Schizosaccharomyces pombe: one gene and its partner. The protein of the gene in region 2 interacts with the protein of the main gene of each other region in a biochemical or structural test. Each region holds a gene or a part of one and is shown on either strand. Other genes may lie near its edges.

Region 1 (4,945 bases), on a different chromosome or scaffold from region 2:
GTGCATTGAATTGTTCCAAAATGTCATAAAAGGGACTTTTTCGAAATCGTATTCGCGAATGAACAACTGGGGCGAAAGGACGGCTGTATGATCTATTTCCAGAAGCTGAACTAGGTGGAGCAATTGGAGCAGCAGCACTATATATCTGATATGTGTTGTACTTTAAGATACATACGGCACTTGTAACATCGCCATCGATTGCCTTTTTCAATGCTTCCCAAGAGGTTGTGTTGTTTTCTATAGCTATCCTCTCTATTAGTTGTTTAATTCTGGTAATGAGCTCAGCTTTTGTTCCTGAAAGACGAAGTCCAAAAACACGAAGTATATCTTTCAGTTGAGGTATAATAAGACCAGTTTCCAGTCGCTTTAGTACATTCTAAACATTCATTTTGTTAGTTAACTTGTAAATATCTTATTATTGGGCTTACTGGAAGCTCCTGTAAAAAGTTCGCCTGGTTCATTGAGTTTTTAGACTGCTTGCCTAAACCGTCGATTTACACATATGTTATATGCAATGACTGCTTCCGTATAGGTATTTGAAAGACAAAGAAATCAAATTTTAGCTAAAAATACAATGAATTATATTTATTCCTTGAATCTCTGCAAACGCCTGGTTGGCAAAACTTGAATTTAATATTTGAAGATAAGGAAGTATATGGCAGTGCGGTATGTGATAATGTAAGAAAACAAAAAAAAAACGGGCAAGTGAGCTTTACTTGTAGTAATAATTAAATAACAATATAAATGAACTTTTGATGAATTTGATCGAATGAATGAGGAAATTAACTTGGAAATTCCAAAAAGACATGAAAAGTAATTTCTAACATTGGTTAAATGATGTTGATTATAAGAAAATATGCGATCAATCAGTTGACAGTCCAATGATTGATTAGACTACGGGCAGCCTCAAAATCAATTCTTGAAACCAGTTGACGACCGAAACTCTTCGCGTAGAGACGAGAGCAATTGATCTGTAATGAAAGTGTTTTTTCATTGATTTCTTTATTATATTGACGGGAGCTCACATATGTAGATTGAATATAATCCAGCATGTTTTCGGGAATATTAGCACGCATGTTCCACATGTGAAAAAAATTACAAAACTCTTGCAGCTCATCCGAATCAGTTGGAAATTCAATAGTGTCCGGAGAATCGCCTCTACATCTACAACCGACATCAGCTGGCAAAATAGATCTTCCATGGCTTAATATAATTATTCGAACATTACTGTGAACGGTAAAAGAACTGAAAGGATAAAAAAATGTTAAATCCTGTTGAGATATTAGGGAAGACAAAAACTGAACGTTACGGCATCCGACATCGTTTAAGGTTCCACTCGATAGTTCAGTTTCATCAAGAACTATAAGGGTGCCAGGAGCCACTTGCAAATGGCTAGTATCTAATGTCTCTCCATCACTCAAGGGATAAAGCGGCTTCCTGTTAAGCTCGGCGACATTAACTTTTTGAATCACCATTCTTTTTATCAAAGGCCGTAACACAGAAACTAACTGGGACACTAATTCAGAGGTGCAATTTGTTAAATTTAAAGTAAAACCACCTATAACCAAACCAGTGGTTTTATGAACAACGTTGGAAAGAAGAGCAAGCATAAGACTTTCCGCAGCTATATTTTCACCAAGGACTTTTTCAAAATATTTTAATATTTTTGGTCGAATGATCTCAGCTTGCTGAGGAGAAGGGGCTTGAGTAGCTGATTGCGTATAATCCTTAAAACATAACATGTGTAAAATGGGTAAACCATCCGAGTATTCACTTGGTTCTTCATAAATTCCAATAACATCGATTGCTTGACAAACTTGAACTTTAGTTTCCATTCCGCCATAGCATTTAACACAAACGCCGGTATCATTACTTGCTTGTAAGCGGTTTGAGTACTTCAATGACCGTTCTTTCAGACTCTCGCTTCCCCAGTTTCCCAAAGCTTCTATAACAGGAAGAGTTCTTTCTCCAGGAACATTTGTCAGAAACAGTGAATATCTTTCATCTAGGACAATTTTAGATTCATCTAAATGCATTTCATCTTCGCTGAAATCAAGTATGTATCTACAGCCTCTCCAAATGTTTTCATTTACCTCTACAGCTCCAGCAAAAAATTCATGCCCAAAATTGGTGTCTTGCACCATACCTTGAAGACGAAGTAGTTGACCAGTCTTTAACTCAGACCATTTGCAGTCAAGATAGTTTGGAATCTAAATATTCAGTGTCAAATAAGAGAAAAAACCACTTAACAAACCTTTCTTATTCTTTCCTCTGTAGCGAAAATATTAGAAACTTCTTCATCGATGCCTAAAGTGCCTTGTAAATCGGGCTTAGATCCTGCAAACAATGCATCCTGAAATCTTTGAAGAAACGATCTTGGATTTTCGATAAAAGAATCAGATAAAGCAATTACCATATTATAAATATATAATTTTATCCTTTAAACCTATTGAAACCAGTAATGATAAAAGATGTTGATATTGCAATGTGCAATGTTCATTTCACGTGAGCGGATTGACTTTAAGTACCCTTTTCTATGGCGTTGCATATACCTAACGATGTACTAATTGCTGTATAAATTCGCTTAATAAGAAGCTTAATTTATTAAGAAACAGAAGGCGTGAATTTAAAGAGTTATCTATTGCTTATTACTACTCTTAAAAGAGAAAAATATTAGAATTTTACAGATTATTGATCGTTTTTGTAATAATATAAATATATTGATGTGCTTGTTTTCATCATTTGTGTCGATTGTACAAACATATATTTTAAAGCTAGCTTTGATAGTGCATTTAAGAATAAAAAAAATTTTCAGATTTACATATTAATGCTCTTTTCTATTCGCGATGGGTGAAGTGACTACCATGCAGTGGTTAAAATACTCAACAAATTTACTAGTTCACTGGAACTCAGTACTGATGTTACTAGTTCAATAACACTGAATATGAGTAATGCAGTATCATCATCAGTATTTGGAGAGAAAAATAACTCTGTAGCTTATGAGCTGCCATGGTATGTATATATTATGAGCAATTAAAACGTCCTTTATGAAGGTTTTAGTGTTCAGCTATTACGATTGCTTCTTGGTGACTCAGGCATCTTTTCATAATTTAAAGGTTCAATATAATATAGTATGCTGATCTATAAACTTATAGGGTCGAAAAGTATCGTCCAATCGTCCTGGATGACATTGTTGGTAACGAGGAGACGATTGACCGACTTAAAGTTATTGCCAAGGAAGGGAATATGCCTCATCTAGTTATTTCGGTAACCTATTTTTTTTTAATTATTATTTATACTACATGCTGACTTATATTTATAGGGAATGCCTGGTATCGGAAAAACGACGTCTATTCTTTGTTTAGCACATGCATTACTTGGCCCAGCATATAAGGAAGGTGTATTAGAATTAAATGCTTCAGATGAACGAGGTATCGATGTAGTGAGAAATAGAATTAAAGCATTCGCACAGAAAAAAGTCATACTGCCACCTGGAAGGCATAAGATCATTATTTTAGACGAAGCAGATAGTATGACGGCTGGAGCTCAACAAGCTTTGCGTAGAACTATGGAAATCTACAGTAATACAACGCGTTTTGCACTTGCTTGCAATCAATCCAACAAAATTATTGAACCTATTCAATCGCGGTGTGCAATTCTCCGATACTCACGTCTTACGGATCAACAGGTTTTACAGCGTTTATTGAATATATGTAAAGCGGAAAAAGTCAATTATACAGATGATGGTTTGGCTGCCCTTATCATGACAGCAGAAGGTGATATGCGTCAAGCAGTGAACAATCTACAGAGCACTGTTGCTGGATTCGGTCTTGTGAACGGTGAAAACGTTTTCCGGGTCGCCGATCAGCCTTCACCTGTAGCGATACATGCCATGCTAACTGCTTGTCAATCTGGAAACATCGACGTCGCCCTTGAAAAACTTCAGGGAATATGGGATTTGGGGTTCAGTGCTGTGGACATTGTCACTAATATGTTTAGAGTAGTAAAGACAATGGACAGTATTCCGGAATTTTCAAGATTAGAAATGCTTAAGGAAATTGGCCAAACTCATATGATTATTTTAGAGGGTGTGCAAACCTTGTTGCAGTTAAGTGGTTTAGTATGTCGCCTTGCTAAGTCACAGATGAAGCCGGAGTCTTTTATTATTTAGTTTAATGGCACCAGTCTTGGTTCAAAGTCTTGATGATTATTAAAATCAGTAATACCCCAAGTCATATAAAATATCAAAACCCCTAACAATAGTAACGTGTAATAAATCCTAGTCTGATTTCTGTTTCCAATTTTTCCGTACAAAGTTGGCAGCCCCATTGAATTACAAAAAGCATGTACTAAAAATGAAGGAAATAAGCTATGCGTGGAAAGGAATAGATGTGTTGTATACCATCCAAAAACTGTGGTGTATGAAAACTGAACAACAGTTTGAAGAGCGGCAGCTATATATGCATTCGGATAGGCAAGTAGAAATTCATAGGTATGATGAATATGCGCCATTCCAAACAGCAGAGGCGCAACAAATATAATTTTAAGCCTTGACCACCCAGCAGCTTCACAAATTGGTACTATGCAACATCTAAATGTAAGTTCTTCAGAAAGAGGACCCTAAAAAGACTTGTGAGAATGTGGAGTGATAAAGAAATTAATGATACTTACAATAATAATGTTTCGCCAAGCAATCGCATTCGACAGGCAGTCTTTCAAATGTATAAAGAAGAGTCTATATTCTTTGTCAACAATCCAAACTTCATACAGGGGCCCAATAAATATAGTTGCTGCGTGTAGTAAACTTTTCAAAACTTGGTCTGTCGGGAAAGTGAATACATTCAATGAAGGGCCAATGATCAACCTTGTTAAAATACAACATACAGATGATGCTAATAAGACACTTATGCAACGTGCCGTAATAACTTTCGGGTCATTCCGATTA
Region 2 (6,706 bases):
TAAAAAAACAACATTTTCTTAGCGTAAGTCAACGTTAAAGCATGCAATTGAGAACAGTCTTGCATACGTAACTTTTGTGTTCTATATAACTCAGTAAGAGATTCCCGTAATTTACAATATGACGGCTTTATAACACATTCGTAGGCATAATATTGTAAAGATGATAAGAACCATAAAGTCACCCACAATTGAGTCCATGGTTGAGAAATACCTTTGGCAGTATACTCCTTTCTTTCGTAAAAAAGGGATTTGATTTTAGTTATACTTAAGTGTAAAGAACCTAGTAGTATCCATAAATCGGAATACACATTTAAAGCATTTTTATCCATAAACAAATTGAACGGCCATTTTAAACACAATAACAGTTGCATATTGAGTCCCTCTACATCGATTTTACGATTCTCAGAGCGAATCATTTCATCTTCTTCATCAAAGATACTTACAAGTTTTAGAAAAGATACACATTCTCCATATTCAGTAGCGAGATCAAGTAAAGAAATAGTTTTCCTTAAAACAACGGGTAAAATATCATCAATTACTACCCCTTGAACGTCATTTGAACTGCAATATTCACCACGAACGTCTCTGAACATTTCAGATAATGTTGGAAGAAACTCAACATTTTCAAGTAACATCACCATCTCTAGCATTTTTACCAAATCGAAAATCTGATGAAACGAAGCTAATTGAAATATTATTTTTTCTGATACCAGAGTGAACATTTCATCTGCTAATTTTGTCACTGAAGATTTCGTTAAAGGCAAAGGCATTTCATATACCAGTCTGTAGAAACATCTAAGAATTTCACAGAAAGCGTCTGTGAAACATTTTTTTGCATTGAGCATACACGTTCGTATTGAAACTAAGCAATTAACGATGTCTTGGGTCAAAAAAGGGACATTATTGCTACAAGATACAAAATCTTTAGTATCACCGCATAAAAACGAACATTTGAAGCTGTCATCGCCGGAATCATTTACCAAATACTGCACTAATTCGTCAAGCCAAGTCTTCTGAAAAGCACATTCACACTCTAAAACCAGCTTTTTAAAATTCAAATGAGTAGAGCCCATATACATATTATGCAGCTTTTGAAACGTAGAAGCTACACTCAAGCATTGAGAAATATTACCTTGAAGTACTAGCAGACTAGATAAAGTTTCTTTCCAATCTGCTAAATGCGCTTCTAATTGCGCCAAGGATACGAATTTTCCGGAACCTACAAAATAAGGATCGCTGGATATAATCATCCGCTCTAAATTAGCTAGACTTTCATCATAAAGAAATAATTTTTTCGAAAGCAGAAGTCTAAGAGCTTTAAGAAGAAACTGGTTTTGCTGAATCAAATCTTCATCAAAAATTTCAATATATCGTTCTATCCTTTTCCTTTTACTTGCCAAAGATACTATGTCATTAATTAATTCTCGTTCACCAGGGTGTAATGGTTGAACAGATGGATGCAGTAGTATTTGACCATTTTTCTCAATAAACAGGCCAGAAGTATTCCCTGCGAGCAACAAAATAATCTCATGCAACATATAATGTATTTATTGTTACAGAGTTTGCATGAAAATATTCAACATATAGCCAATTTAAGTAAACTACTCCAAAGGAGGCTTTCGTAGTAAATGAGATAAATAGCTAAAACTTATTCGTGTTACTTTGAAGGTAACGACTAGGGAATGTCTTGCGTTGTTACAATGAACAATAATCAATGTAGCATTGCATATAATTCAATTAATATATATATATATATATATATATATATATTATTTTGTAATAACCTAGTAGGTACTGTTTATCTTAAACAAACAAAGTCTCAGACGAGCGAAGGTTTAACGACATTAATTTTGGGCAACAGGTAAACACAACACTTTAAAATTGATTAGAAGGGGGAGGTGGTCCACATGGCATGATCATTTTTTCTAATAGGTTTTTGCGAACTTGGACTCTCGGTTCGCCGAGCGCCGTTGCCATATATGCGAGCAACGGTGGATGCCCCACTACAGAAGACAAAGTATCCCGGTGCTGATTTACCATCCATTCACTAGTTTATATGGTGAGCGAAAATTCATTTGTCAAATAAACCGATTAGTACTTACTATTTGGTGGTAAACGCATTACCGACACCAACATAACGCGCTTGTAACTGTTCTAGTTTTGCTTGAGAGCGCAACCTGTCTGCCTACAATCGTTAATAAATGAAAGAAGCATAGAATAGAGATAATTCAAGAATTTTTTTCTTACCATAGTATATATTGGAATATGTGGTATAATGTTCAGACTGGGTTTTTTTAACACATATTGTTAATTGAAACGAATAAGGTATAATACTGTAATTTGCAATTCTAAATTGCGATTTCTAGCGCACCAAAGCAACCACAGAAATAAACGTTTCAAAATAAACATTGCTATCCTTTGACCAAAAACCTGTAGTTGCAGTTTTTTGATAATAGGGAGCACTACACTTGAAGATGTCTTCTCTTGCATCTCAGGGTAATAATGCTTCAACTCCTGCATATCGTTATGGGTTTCAAACTTCAGAAGTTGGGGACAGGCCAACTGTAAGTATGCCTTCACAACCTGAGTCGAGTGCTATGCTCGAGGATGATGGAATGGTGAAAAGGAAACCTTTTGCTGCTATAGGAGAAGCCATACCAAAGGTAATTGATACAACCGGAGAATCAGTACGTGAAGCCTTTGAAGAGTTTTTATTGTCATTTTCTGATGACCGCGTTGCTGGAGGTGATGCTCTCCCTTCTGCATCACAAGAGAAATATTATGTTCAACAGATTCATGGATTGGCAATGTATGAGATTCATACCGTTTACGTTGATTATAAGCATTTAACCTCGTACAATGATGTGTTAGCTCTTGCGATAGTTGAGCAATATTATCGATTTTCTCCTTTCTTACTTCGAGCTTTACAAAAGTTGATTGAAAAGTTTGAACCAGAATATTATAGAAGTTCTCTTTCTCGTGAAAATGCTTCACTTTCACCGAACTTTAAAGCCAGTGACAAAACATTTGCTCTTGCATTTTACAATTTACCCTTTCGATCCACAATTCGGGACTTACGAACAGATCGTATCGGTAGACTCACGACTATTACAGGTACAGTTACTCGTACTTCTGAAGTACGCCCTGAATTAGCACAAGGTACTTTTATCTGTGAGGAATGCCACACTGTAGTTTCAAATGTTGAGCAAGCATTTCGCTATACTGAACCAACTCAATGCCCTAATGAACTTTGTGCTAATAAAAGAAGTTGGCGGCTCAATATTTCACAGTCTTCTTTTCAGGACTGGCAAAAGGTGCGCATTCAAGAAAATAGCAACGAGATTCCTACGGGTTCTATGCCACGAACTTTGGACGTAATTTTGCGCGGAGATATTGTTGAAAGGGCTAAGGCTGGTGACAAATGCGCATTTACGGGAATTCTTATTGCCGTTCCAGATGTCTCACAGCTAGGAATTCCTGGTGTAAAGCCAGAAGCTTATCGAGATTCTCGCAATTTTGGTGGTAGAGATGCAGATGGTGTGACAGGACTGAAGTCTTTAGGTGTACGTGATCTTACATATAAACTATCTTTTTTAGCTTGCATGGTTCAACCAGATGATGCAAATGATAAAAGCGGTGCGGATGTCAGAGGGGATGGTTCTCAAGGGATCGAAGAGCAAGATGAATTTTTGCAATCGCTTTCTCAAGAAGAAATTGATGATTTACGTGCGATGGTGCATTCAGATCATATTTATTCTCGTTTGACAAACTCACTGGCTCCCTCTGTTTATGGTCATGAAATAATTAAGAAGGGGATTCTTTTACAGTTAATGGGTGGTGTTCACAAGTTAACTCCTGAAGGTATAAATCTTCGTGGCGACCTGAACATTTGTATTGTCGGCGACCCCAGTACTTCGAAATCACAATTTCTTAAATACGTTTGCAATTTTCTTCCTCGTGCAATCTACACTTCTGGAAAGGCATCATCTGCGGCCGGTCTCACAGCTGCAGTTGTTAAGGACGAAGAAACTGGGGATTTTACTATAGAAGCAGGCGCTTTAATGTTGGCTGACAATGGAATATGTGCTATAGATGAATTCGATAAAATGGATCTGTCAGACCAAGTTGCTATTCATGAAGCAATGGAACAACAAACGATATCTATAGCAAAAGCTGGAATTCAAGCTACATTAAACGCACGGACATCTATCCTTGCTGCTGCAAATCCAATAGGTGGCCGCTATAACCGAAAAACAACTTTGCGGAATAACATCAATATGTCTGCTCCTATCATGTCACGGTTTGATTTATTCTTCGTTGTACTAGATGAGTGCAATGAATCAGTTGATAGACATTTAGCTAAGCATATTGTTGACATTCATCGTTTACGGGATGATGCCATGCAACCTGAATTTAGTACTGAGCAACTTCAACGATATATCAGATATGCAAGGACTTTCAAACCAAAGTTAAATACAGAATCTTGTGCCGAAATTGTTAAAAAGTACAAGCAATTGCGGATGGATGACGCGCAAGGTGCTGGTAAAAATTCATATCGTATTACCGTGCGACAACTGGAGTCAATGATTCGTCTATCAGAAGCCATTGCAAGAGCAAACTGTGTAGATGATATTACTCCTGCATTTGTCAACGAAGCATACTCTTTATTACGTCAATCAATTATCCATGTGGAAAGAGATGATATTGAGGTTGAAGAAGATGATGCAGAGGCCCAAGAACTTGAGAATGATAATACTAATACAACAAATGGCAATGATAATGTTTCTTCGGAAGAAGCTTTGCAGAAACCAAAAGTAAAAATTACTTACGACAAATATGTTTCGATTATGAACGGAATATTACAGGTTTTACGCCAGCGCTCTACTGAAGGTGTAGATGGAGTACCAGCGGGAGACCTAGTTCAGTCATATCTCGAGCTTAGGGAAGACCAATTCCATACCGAGGAAGACATCATCTATGAGGTTGGTCTTGTGCGTAAGGTATTAACCAGGCTTGTTCACGAATCGATCATCATGGAAATTCAAAATTTAACTGACAGCGCCGTGAGGCTTCCTTTTGAAGAACGCGTATTTTCAATACACCCTAACTGTGACATTGATGCTCTACTGAGCAATGGCGATGTTCCGAACTAAGGTTATAAAAGATTCGTAACGATCTCTTATAAGTTTTATCAGTGAGGCGTATTTTTGAAACAGACCTGACATTAATTGTTGAAGCACTACTTTAATTCACGAAATTGGTGTATTTTTTTTTTCCTCACTGCATACCGTAGAAACCCTGATTTGTTATTTTAATCTTTACACTCTTTTTTTGTACTTTTATTCACTAAATTTGATAATACTATTGGATCCTACCGAAAAATATATACTCATTTTCCTGATCTAGACATTTATCAGATTAATCTATGTTTATTTCAAACATATAACCCAGGTAAATTAGTATAGTGATACGTTAAGCAATGTTAATATGTTGAAGCATATCTGCTGAAATCCGTTCAACACCAAAGGAAGGGTGAGACTGTTCAGGACTAAACCTCTACGCTATTTACAATAGTAAACACCTCAAGTTACTTTTTATAAAGACTCTTGATTAGTAGCTACAGAAGGGCTATGGAAGTGCCTCGCGCATCTCCTAACCAAGAGCCGTTATGTTCGATTTCACCGTCCTCCTTGGTGATCAATGAAATTATAACTGTCGTGACGGCAATTAGAAAAACCACGAGATGGAGGAATTCTGGTGTTGCATCCATTTTAGGAGTCTCAACACTTAAAGACGAATTTCTGGCTGATGGTTTAGAAAGCCGATGGAAAACAAATGGCGAAAAAAGCAGTAGTATCCGATATCCATTGGTTATGGAGTTTTCACAGTTAAAAGAAGATTTGACGAACCGTGCTAGCTTAAATGGATACGATAGTTTAAAGCTTCTCTCTCCGTTTTTGAGGACAATCAAGTCCCCACGAATGACAGGTTATATAACTAGCTTATGTTTATCAGCTATACTCAAATTCTTTTCTTTTCGAATCATTTCTGAAGAATCACCCAATTTAGCACTGTCAATGCGTAATCTATCGTTTGCTATTACTCAATGCCGTTTTGAGAGCTTCGATGCTTCACAGGATGAGGCTGTATTGTTGCGAGTTTCTAGGCTAATGGAAGAATTGTTAAGAGGTCCTGGAAAAGCTGTTTTGAGTGATGATTCTATTTGCGAAATTGTTGAAACAGGGCTCAGTATGTGTTGCCAGTCTAGGCTTTCCCAAGTTTTACGCTATAGTGCTGAATTATCGATGACATCTATCCTTGAAAAGATATTTGAACGCTTGAAGTACATTGATGTGAAAACGGATAGTGAAGATTTTTGGGACGCATCCGAAGAACACTCTATCAAAGGAGAGGAGTTCCATTACAAAAAAATCACCGAAGGCGATGAGATTTCAAATGAAATCGATCCCTTCGGTATTGGTTCTATTCGCGAAGTTTTTCGTGTACTAGTTTCCTTTATTGACTTTGGCAAGCAAAAGTTTTCTGATAATATTAAAGCCATGGCATTGAGATTTATAAACACAGCCTTAGAGGTCTCTGGTTCACATATTAGCGATTTTCCTTCGCTTCGAGTACTCATCACTGATACTTTATGCAAATCACTTCTACAGCTCATTCGTAGTGATCATACAGCTTTGCTGACAAA

The links. Proteins that work in one complex are often made in the same cells at the same time.
Region 1: the proteins of mcm6 (region 2) and mcb1 form a complex in vitro, tested with the Schizosaccharomyces pombe proteins (one study listed by BioGRID).

What each region holds. Positions count from the first base shown.
Region 1 is NC_003424.3:904,355-909,299, reverse strand, and holds mcb1 (mini-chromosome maintenance complex-binding protein mcb1), read right to left. Parts: upstream 2,504-4,945; 5' UTR 2,417-2,503; coding exon 2,255-2,416; exon of another isoform or gene 2,211-2,254; coding exon 867-2,210; 3' UTR 501-866; downstream 1-500. Other genes in the region: SUMO E3 ligase Pli1, read right to left, coding at 1-376, 429-461; DNA replication factor C complex subunit Rfc4, read left to right, coding at 2,945-3,012, 3,156-3,267, 3,323-4,171; rce1 (CAAX prenyl protease), read right to left, coding at 4,168-4,620, 4,672-4,945.
Region 2 is NC_003423.3:3,878,765-3,885,470, reverse strand, and holds mcm6 (MCM complex subunit Mcm6), read left to right. Parts: upstream 1-2,413; 5' UTR 2,414-2,474; coding exon 2,475-5,153; 3' UTR 5,154-5,373; downstream 5,374-6,706. Other genes in the region: gamma tubulin complex GCP4 subunit Gfh1, read right to left, coding at 1-1,538; sap10 (splicing factor 3B), read right to left, coding at 1,876-2,047, 2,103-2,185, 2,248-2,250; gea1 (guanyl-nucleotide exchange factor), read left to right, coding at 5,631-6,706. UniProt on the Schizosaccharomyces pombe protein: Acts as a component of the mcm2-7 complex (mcm complex) which is the putative replicative helicase essential for 'once per cell cycle' DNA replication initiation and elongation in eukaryotic cells.